Linked DNA regions of Mus musculus. The protein of the gene in region 2 interacts with the protein of the main gene of each other region in a biochemical or structural test. Links are inferred from orthologs where the notes say so. Each region holds a gene or a part of one and is shown on either strand. Other genes may lie near its edges.

Region 1 (3,520 bases), on a different chromosome or scaffold from region 2:
AGGACAGGCGGAATGCAACTCTGTCTGCTCATGGCATAAAGCCCAAGTCATCAAGCGGCAAATGGCCGTCCCAGGGCCTGACTGGCATTTCCTGGCTCTGTGCACCTCCACTGCCTCGAGTGGGCACCATCAGTGGCTCAGGAAACACATGTGGACTGATAGAAGGAATTCAGGAGAAAGAAGCAGAGGTGCATGGTGGCTGCTAAAAATGACTTTTAAAGGGACAGAAAAAAGGAATGGGTGACAAGAAATGAGAAGTCTACCAAGGCGAAGTGCTGGAGGACACAGTGGCTGAAAGAAGGCCGCTGGCCTCTCAGTCACCGCTCTGCTTCTTTCTTCCCTTCCTTCGTCCCAATACCCCAAAGACGAGGATCTATACATTAAAACAAGGGATTAGCATAGAAACCTATCAGTGACTCAGCCATAGCTAGCAAACCCCCAAGTACAACTCATTTTCCAACTATGTTCAAGTCTAAGATACTGTTATGCAAAAATCTTAACTCTTATTTAAAGTGTGAATTAGAAACCTCTCACAAGTTTCCCTGTGTTAAAATGAAGGTTGCCAACAAGCCGGGAACAGGTTTCATCCATCACTGGATTTTCTACTTGAACATCAACGCACAGCGACACAAAACCATCCCGACAAAGCAGAGTTTATTAACTAGTTTCCATGAGTCACACAGCAAATCTATTCCCCCAAATCAATGTTTAAACACAACTAAATACTAATTGTGGTAACCCACAAGACTTCAGCACATCTCTCTGTGCCAGGGACTGTAAATAGGTAAGACTACCCTGCCTTCTAGAACACATAAAAGACCCAATGGGTGAAAAGTGCAACCTACAGCATGTCACGTGCAGTCCTGTGTCACCTAACAGTGTTTAGCCCACACTGGACTATGGGGTGGGGGAGGAGTCAGTCCGTGTTGTCTTACACTAACTCATCATGCTATTAGACCTTCTAGTACTAGTGTAAGCACCAATTCCCAAGGGAAACAGACAACTTACCTGTGATCTGGACATGGGCAAACCAAGTCCCACGGTGTTAGTGCTCATGAGAGAGAAATTCATGCTCTGGGAAGACGTCATGGTTGCCTGGGATGAGCCCATAAGATCAAACAGGTCTGCCGAGTTTGAGGCAGCAGGCGGTGGGCCTAAAGCTGGCTGTGAAGCACTGATAAGCTCCACAGCCGACTGTGGGGCACTGCCGAAGAGCTCACCACCAGAAGCCACAGGGCCTGATGGGGCTTGGTTGAAGGCACTCCAGTCACCAAAGTCACCATTCCCACTTGTTGCTGTTACCAAGACAGAAAGAAGGCAAGGGTGAGAGGCATTCTGAAGTGCCCAGAGCAAATGTAAGCTATATGAACTGCAACTAACTGAAGCTGATGGGAGCCCATGCAGGTTAGCATCTACAGGCCCCAGCACCATCTGGACAGAATCCTTCCTGATGAATATTACAAGAGTGTTCCAAGGTGGCAAAGAAAAGTTAGAACTCTCAAAGTAAACCCACCTCTTGGGAGACCTGTGCATGATACACAAAAAGCACCATGAAATCACACAACGAAGTCTGCATCACCTAAGCACATGGGACTCAGAAAAAGGAGGAGATTCTAAACCGGTTAACTTCCTGTGGGAGTGGAGAGGTACTCCACAATTAAGAGTCCCATCTTTGCTCATTTAGAAGGTTCAAAAAGAAATCAGCCTGCAATTTATACCTACGTAATTTGCAAAGCCTCATGTTCATGATCTATAATTTAATAAGAACAAAATAAACCATGGAGAATAAGAAGCTAGAAAAATAACATGTGAACATTTAATACATTTGTGTTAGGAGGTCTCACTCTGGTTTTTTCCCACTGACTACACATGGGCTACTACTAAGAACAATCTCCAGTATGCTGACTGCTCATTATATTTCAATAAAAAGCAAGGAGAACTCTTGTTAGTTTGAATTTGAAATGCAAGCTGAAGGGGTAGGTATTAAAGACTTGGTCTGCAATCTGCAGCACAGAGAAGCAACTTAGCTGTGCTAAGCGCGTCAGTGAGCCAGTCTAGATGAGTTCATACATGGTAAGCCATTAGGAGGTAGTGCCAGGCTGGAGGAAGGGTGTGCCTTTGAAGGGCATATTTGGCTCTGCCTGGCAGCCTCTCCGCTTCTACTCTAAAGACAGTAGCCTTTCTAATCCAGGCCCACAAGCCTATTTACTTAATTTATATAAATACATTGTAGGTGTCTCCGGAGGATCCAGCAATACCTCTCCTGGGCATATATCCAGAAGATGCCCCAACTGGTAAGAAGGACACATGCTCCACTATGTTCATAGCAGCCTTATTTATAATAGCCAGAAGCTGGAAAGAACCCAAATGCCCCTCAACAGAGGAATGGATACAGAAAATGTGGTACATCTACACAATGGAGTACTACTCAGCTATTAAAAAGAATGAATTTATGAAATTCCTAGCCAAATGGATGGACCTGGAGGGCATCATCCTGAGTGAGGTAACACATTCACAAAGGAACTCACACAATATGTACTCACTGATAAGTGGATATTAGCCCAAAACCTAGGATACCCAAGGTATAAGATACAATTTCCTAAACACATGAAACTCAAGAAAAATGAAGACTGAAGTGTGGACACTATGCCCCTCCTTAGAAGTGGGAACAAAACACCCTTGGAAGGAGTTACAGAGACAAAGTTTGGAGCTGAGATGAAAGGATGGTCCATGTAGAGACTTCCATATCCAGGGATTCACCCCATAATCAGCATCCAAACGCTGACTCCATTGCATACACTAGCAAGATTTTATCGAAAGGACCCAGATGTAGCTGTCTCTTGTGAGACTATGCCGGGGCCTAGCAAACACAGAAGTGGATGCTCACAGTCAGCTAATGGATGGATCACAGGGCTCCCAATGGAGGAGCTAGAGAAAGTACCCAAGGAGCTAAAGGGATCTGCAACCCTATAGGTGGAACAACATTCTGAACTAACCAGTACCCCGGAGCTCTTGACTCTAGCTGCATATGTATCAAAAGAAGGCCTAGTCGGCCATCACTGGAAAGAGAGGCCCATTGGACACGCAAACTTTATATGCCCCAGTACAGGGGAACGCCAGGGCCAAAAAGGGGGAGTGGGTGGGTAGGGGATTGGGGGTGGGTGGGTATGGGGGACTTTTGGTATAGCATTGGAAATGTAAATGAGCTAAATACCTAATAAAAAATGGAAAAAAAAAAAAAAAGCATTAGAAGCTCAAAAAAAAAAAAAAAAAAAAAAAAGAAGAGAACATAAGATCCCATTACAGATGGTTGTGAGCCACCATGTGGTTGCTGGGAATTGAACTCAGGACCTCTGGAAGCACAATCAGTGCTCTTAACCGCTGAGCCATCTCTCCAGCCCTAGGCCCAACTCTTAAATCTATATTGTAAAGATGGAGTAACGACATGTGTCATCATCTGAGGTTTGATACTATTACACTGGATTAACTTGGGCAGTCCAAGTGAGTTCACCACCCAGAC
Region 2 (3,520 bases):
TCGAGAAGTTCTCCACCAGCTGATGCTGGTTTGCTTGTAGGTGCAGTTGGGATAACAGGTGTTATGTCATTTCCTCCCAACAAATCCAATAGATCATTGGCCTAAATAAGGAAATAATTATTCACGAGTTATTTGTCTAAAGTGTATTTAACAGTTTTTCTCCTCAATACTTAACATCAAGGACGGCAATTATCAAGCAATCAAAAAATACTAAAGGACAACAGCTAAGAAATAAGCTACAGAACTATAATATCACCAGTAGCCCCAGACAAGGACCTGGCTTGTGGGTTGTGGCCCTGAGGGTGGTGGTTTAGTCTCTAGGGGCGCTGGTTCTGTCTCTCCATTTGTCTGCACGATCTCCGAAGGGCCATTTGTGGTCACTTTTTCCATGACAGGCATTCTTTCAAGTAGGGCAGACCTAGAAGAATTTGCAGTGGTCAATTACATTCTAGGCAGTTAGCCTCCATACCCTACACAAAACAACCACTATTATCAGTTACTGTGAGGAAGCATCTCCCCTTCCCTCCCCACCCAACACACACACACACACACACACACACACACACACACACACACGCACGCACTCACATACACGCACTCACATACACGCACTCACATACACTCACGTAAACTGGAACAGAAGGTGTATTACAAGAATACATACATGACCTACATTCTCAATTGGATTAGAAACAGTCAAGAGTCTCTGAATAAATAAAATGTACATCTAAATCCCCAAACACAACTAAGACAAACGAAAGGTAACCCAGCAGGTATTAGCAGACTTCAATCAGGACTTAGGTATTATAGAACAGAAAGAAGAAAAAAAGCAAGGCACCAAAATGTTACAAATAATGGGATTTATGGGATTTGAATAAAATTATTTCTCTTGGGTCTGACAGTGGTGGTGCACACCTTGAGTCCAAGCACTGGGAGGCAGAGGCAGGCAGATATCTGAGTTTGGGGCCAGGCTGGTATATAGAGCAAGTTCCAGGACAACCAGGGTTATACAAAGAAACCATGTCTCAAGAAAGATAAAGAAAAAAAATTCTTTTGGAAAAAAACTCCAACTGCCTTTTAGCCAAATAAAATGGAAAATGATGCAAACTTTACATACAGAGGTAGAGGAGGGAGGTAGACTAAAAAACACATTGTTTTTTAATGATTTATTTTGAAGCAGGGTCTCACCATGTAATTCTGGCTGGCCTGGAACTCGCTCTGTACACCAGGCTGGCCTTAAACTCAGATCCACCTGCCTCTGCCTCCATCTGACTCAATACGTTTATTTCTTAGGAGGTTAGAAAGAAGAAAACATGGAGAAAAGCGGCCACTCAGTGAGAAGGAAGGAAATGCAGCACAAGCAACAAGTGTCCTTCAGGGACAAAAAGGACATGTCACTCAGGTGCCAGAGGTGGGTACAGCAAGGCTCTTGCTCACCTCATGTGGTCATACTTCTTAAAAAGTGCGTTGTACTCTACTGCCCTCTGCTGGAGCTCTACGTCGATGCTGCTCCCATAGATGGAAACCACTTTCTTAATTCGGCTGTGGGACAGATAATAGGATAAATGAAATCAATCATTCAAAACACAAAATTTATAAGGAGCAGTGAAGATGATCAAAACAGAGTTTCTTGGTTAAATTTCTGATTTCTCTATGTTTCCTTAATTCAAATTGTGTTTCAAGAACAACTATAATTCCCTTATCTCTATTCACTCATTTATCAATATTGTAATTGTAATGAGAAACTTCTACCTAGGTATTTATTCCCCATCCTCAAGCTTACTGGAGGTGTGGGAACACAGCTTACTGGTGCAGTGCTTGCCCAGCATGTGAGGACTGACGTCCAATCTCCTCATTGAGACCCTTGCAAACAAAAGCACCCATCACTTTGCCACAAAGAAATGGATATTGTCCAATTCTCTTTCTTAGTAACTTTGAAAATGAGGTTTTAGCATTAGCGTGCTCACTACAATCCTTGTAGCAATCTAAACACTAAATAATTACACTTCTCACAAAGCTATCTGGCTCATAGGTTGTGGCCACTTTGAAAATGAAACGGAAAAGTCCAGGAAAACTGACTCAAATCAATTTTTGCTCAAAATAGCACCAATTAAAACTCAAAAGATTTAAACACACACACACACCCCCCACAAAGACACTCACACAAATCTGGATTTTATTCCTACACCAACATCTTCGAATATAATAAACCAAGGCAGGCATAGTGCTGCACGCCTTTAATCCAGCACTGGGAGGCAAAAGCAGACAGATCTCTGAGTTTAAGGCCAGCCCAGTCTACAGAGAAAGTTCTAGAACTATCAGGGCTACATGGAGAAACCATTTCTCAAAAAACAAACAAACAAAAAAAGCCCAATAAACCACAAATGTTAGAAACTATACTATAAAACTATACTATAAAAATACTGCAAAATAATGCACAGTAGGGAGAGACAATGACAAAACAAAATACTGACACAAAAGAAAGATGAGCAATGAACTGATCATTCTGTGTGTGGTACTAAGTAAATTAAAACTCATTTGACTATTGTCTCTAGTTTTTTCCATTTCTTTTTTTCTAAGATTTTTATTTTATGTGTATGAGTGCCTTGTCTGAAAATATGTCTGCTCACCATGTATGTGCACTGCCTGAAGAGATTTGGAAGAGAATATTGGATCACTGGAACTAGAGTTACAGATGGCTGTTAACCACCATGTGGATGCTGGGAATTTAACTTGGGTCTTCTTCAAGAGTAGCAAGTGCTCTTAACTGCTGAGCCATCTCTCCAGCCCCATTTTTGTCTATTCTTGAAATTTTCTAAGATAAGGTTTTAAACTTCTCAGACGGAGTCCCATATAAACTAGCTTTAGCGTGAAGTTAGTCATAAAGTCAAGGATGATCATAGACACCTGATCTAGACCCTGGTTTTTGCAGTGCTTAAGATCAGCCCCGGGTCTTTGTATGTGTTAGGCAAATAAAATACCAAATGAGCTACAGAACAGGCTAGGGAGGTGGCTCAGTGGGTAAAGCGATTCCCATGCAAGCACTGAGTGTGACAGTATATAATCCTAGCGCTATAGAAGTGATCCCTTAGACATAGATTATTGATGCTTTGTGGCCAACTTGTCAAATAAGTGAGCTTCCAGTTAAGTAAGAAACCCTACCTCAAAAATTAAGGTGGAGAGTGATATTGAGGACACTCCATCACCCTTGGGAGTTACAGACCAACCTTGCAACTCTCCTTCCCTCAGTACTCACTTTACAGTACAGGTGAATCGGGTAGACAGCTTCATAATGGCAGTGAGAGCATAGCCTCTTGTCACAGAGGTGGACATATTAGAGATCAGGACACTTTCTAAAATATCCAGCACTTCATCTTCTGTCACCTGAGAGGAAGAAGATGCAACATGTAGCCAGTGACAACCGTGAGCTCAAGGTGCTGCCTCTCATGCAGTCCATGCTAAATTAGTCCACTGGTCAAAGCAGGTTTTTAAAAAGCCATTGTCAATTAAGAACAGGTTA
Region 3 (3,520 bases), on a different chromosome or scaffold from region 2:
AGTGCATCTTCAGAGTCCTCCTTGCCAACACTGCTGCCACCGATGGAGGGGAGGTCTAAAGACTTCACCGAGGAGGAGTCTTCTTTGGCATGTCTGAAAGCCACGGCTTTCTCTCCCAGGGATTTGTCTGAGCTCGTGGATGAGAATTTACTGGAGTGGAAGTCGGCAAAGTCATCTTCACTCTTGGTGGAGGAAGTGTTCTCTTTGAACTCCTCCATGGCCAGCCCAGCGCCCTCTAGGGACAGCTGTTTGAAGACATCATACTTGGTTGCCGCAGCAGGTGGGTGCTGTGCCCCTTCCACAGTGCTGCTGGACAAGGGGCTGGGACTCACTTCCTCCCTGAGGGCTTCATACTTGTCACTTGCTTTTGGCTCAGATGAAATGGAGCTGTTACCGAAAGCCATAAAATCTGCAAAGTCGTCCTGCTCCCCAGCAGATGCAGGGTTTGAATACTCCCCAAAGAGGTTGAACTCTCCAAAATCATCTGCCAAACTAGAAGTTTTAGTGGATGCCAGTGCTGCTGACGCTGCTGCAGAGCCCGCTGGCTGAGGTCGAGTGGAAACGGACTTTGCTGTGCTAAATGTAGCTGAAAAGGGCACCTGTTTCTCGCCACTGCAATCCACTGAGGAGAACATATCTAGATCTTCTAAGTTCAGAGGGGTTTTCACCTGTGTCTGTGTCTGCTGTGCAGCTCCTGAGGCAAAAGCTGATGGGAAAGTGTCTTTTGTGGGTGGCTCTAGGGGTGACACACTATCGGCGGTCTTGAAGTCAGTGAAGCCATCATCGGTTCCTGTGGATCTGAACTCGGCAAAGCTCTCTCCTGAAAAAAAGAAGTGCAGTTCAGTAAGGATGCAGAGCAGAAGACCATGTGGCACACGATGCATTAAACCAAGGTAAAACCCTGTACACCCATCCTTGGCTCAATGGTAACCACAGTCCACAGCCTTGTGTCTCCATTAAAGCCAGTGATAAGGAAACAGGCAAGCACGGCTCAAGACTCTCTCCTCCTCTGGCCAGAACTGAACCAGAAGCTGGAGGATTCTGAGAGGCACACTGAGAGCTGCCCACTAAACATGAAGCATTATAATGTTTTAAACAAGTTCAAAGGTATCAGTGAAGGACTCAGAGAATCCTGCATCTGGTATTCAGAGTGTACAACTCTGAACTACTAAGCACTTTAGAAAGATTTAGAAGCTGGGCGTTGAGTCACACACCTTCCCAGGACTTGGGAAGCTCAGGTAGAGGGATCACAAGTTGAGGCTAACTTGGGCTACATGACTAGATCAGCTCTCCAACATACCAACCAACTAATCAGCCAACCAATGAACTAACCATCATCAACAATAAATAAACAACCTCATTACTAGATGCTAACAGTGTAGCTCAGTGCCCACTGGCAAACTCATGCATGACACACACTGACACCCATGCACACACACAGGAACACAAAATATTAGAAAGGATACAATGTAGTCTTGCTCAAGTACACTGACATTAATCGGATGTTCTTTTTGTAAAAATCTTTGAGAAAATAACTACTTATCTGCAAAGCAAGTTAAGTGCTCATGTGGAGGTCAGAGGACAGCTGTGTGTGTAGACTCTCTCTCTCTTCTCCTTTGTTTTAAATCTGAGATCTGAACTCAGGCCATCAGGTTCTGCAACATTTTTATCCTGTAGGCCATTTTTTTTCCAGCCCCTGAGAACTTAGTCTTTAAACTTTGGAACCATGATTCTTAATAAGATTTCTACTCTTCACTCATGTCTAATCTTAGCACTTACAATTATAATGTCAGGATGTAGATAACCTCAGTTTTCTTACAATGTTTGAAGGCCTACAATGAAACCACTAGGATAAGCCATTTAATGAAAGCCAGCGATATACCAACTGTGAGTATTGCTATACCAACCAACATCATTTAATATCTATTAACATGATTGCCAATTCTGGAGATTAAGAAATAAAAGCCTAAATTTCTCTGCTACTTTACCTCCACTCTTTTTTTGTTTTCTTTTAGGTTTTGAGACAGGGTTTCTCTGTGTAGCCCTGGCTGTCCTGGAACTCACTTTGTAGACCAGGCTGGCCTTGAACTCAGAATCAGAGATCCAGATGCCTTTGCCTCCCAAGTGCTGGGATTAAAGGTGTGCACCAGCATTGCATGGCTTCCGCGCCCCCACCCCCTCAAATGGACAGTCTACTTTTGTAGTTCTGATTGGCTTAGAATTCACCAGACAGACCAGGCTGGCCTTGAATGTATAACCTCCCACCTCTAACTCCTGAGTGCTGGGATCATAGGCACACACTCTCATCAATGTTTTAAAAAACTGTTTTTCCTAAATGATCAAACATAGATGCATAATGAACCATAAAGTGTACTTAAAAGCCAAACCTTAAAACCAGTTTCTAAAACTGCCACCAAGGAAGAGATGGGCTTTCAACCTATCGGGCCTCATGCATGAGCTACACTTTAATTTACCAAAGAGAAAAAGCACTGGAAACAATGTAATTTTGCTTTTTAATCTGATACTGAATTTATTTACTAGCAAAAGCCATCAACACAAATCCTTCCATAGTATAGAGAAATATGATAAACAAGAGCAGCCTATTTCAAGTTTCCTATAATTTTTGTATTTAAGACATGACATAAGTCAATTTCACAAACTGACAGGAAATACAAATGTGAAAACTACCCTAGGATTTACAGATGCGTTGTCGATGACATTTGTGTTATTTCTATAAATGAAGATATAATTAGTAGTAAACTTTTTTGGGGGTCATTTTTGGTATTTTGAGGCAAAATACATGGTAGCCCAGGCTGACCTTGAACTCATGGCAATTCTCCTACCTTAGCCTCATGAGCGCTATAATTAAAGGCATGGGATACCATGTCCAGATCATGGCCTAAATACAATTTTGATGTGTTGCTTTGAAATATCTGTGAAATTGACAGGTTTTGATTTTTAAACACAAATCGCACAGCAAACTAAACTTACTGATGATGAATTGTAAACTTCTCCATCAGAACTGTGAACTGGGTGAAAGGGTTGAAGGGAATGAGAAAGGAGAGGGTTTATAACTCAACAGCAAAGAGAATGACGTCAGCAAGTTAACTCGCTGGAGTGACTGTTGCCCCTCTGGAAGCTTGTTAGTTGGCTCTCAGATTCTTTTCCAGTTCCTCCTTTGATTTTTGTAACTTTTTAGGCCCTGAGAACATTTTGAAGGAGTATTTAGCTAGAGCTCCAATAAGAAGTATCCTTTCTTTATGCTGACCACTGTTCAAAACTTACATACAGCGTCTGGCTTAACCTGTGAGGAGACATGAAGCTGTCGCGCAGCAGCGCAGGAGACTCATTTCTGAATGAGGTCCTGCAGAGGCCCCAGTCACAGCACTCCCCCATCTCTCTTAGTTTTTGGCTCCAATTTGTTCTATTGCCAAGAATGACCTGTGTTCCTCATCCTCCTGCCTCCACTTCCCAAGTGCTGAGAGGAAAGATCTGGACCTCAAATGGTCCACCTCAAGGA

What was found.
Region 1: the proteins of Ap1g1 (region 2) and Clint1 form a complex in vitro, tested with the Homo sapiens proteins (2 studies listed by BioGRID). The link is inferred for Mus musculus from reciprocal best matches to the Homo sapiens genes AP1G1 and CLINT1.
Region 3: the proteins of Ap1g1 (region 2) and Synrg form a complex in vitro, tested with the Homo sapiens proteins (2 studies listed by BioGRID). The link is inferred for Mus musculus from reciprocal best matches to the Homo sapiens genes AP1G1 and SYNRG.

What each region holds. Positions count from the first base shown.
Region 1 is NC_000077.6:45,903,956-45,907,475, reverse strand, and holds part of Clint1 (clathrin interactor 1), read right to left. Parts: intron 1,296-3,520; coding exon 1,009-1,295; intron 1-1,008. UniProt on the Homo sapiens protein: Binds to membranes enriched in phosphatidylinositol 4,5-bisphosphate (PtdIns(4,5)P2). May have a role in transport via clathrin-coated vesicles from the trans-Golgi network to endosomes. Stimulates clathrin assembly.
Region 2 is NC_000074.6:109,851,564-109,855,083, reverse strand, and holds part of Ap1g1 (AP-1 complex subunit gamma-1), read right to left. Parts: intron 3,385-3,520; coding exon 3,257-3,384; intron 2,551-3,256; exon of another isoform or gene 1,543-2,550; coding exon 1,438-1,542; exon of another isoform or gene 1,294-1,437; intron 419-1,293; coding exon 277-418; intron 102-276; coding exon 1-101. UniProt on the Homo sapiens protein: Subunit of clathrin-associated adaptor protein complex 1 that plays a role in protein sorting in the late-Golgi/trans-Golgi network (TGN) and/or endosomes.
Region 3 is NC_000077.6:84,005,918-84,009,437, reverse strand, and holds part of Synrg (synergin gamma), read right to left. Parts: intron 821-3,520; coding exon 1-820. UniProt on the Homo sapiens protein: Plays a role in endocytosis and/or membrane trafficking at the trans-Golgi network (TGN). May act by linking the adapter protein complex AP-1 to other proteins. Component of clathrin-coated vesicles.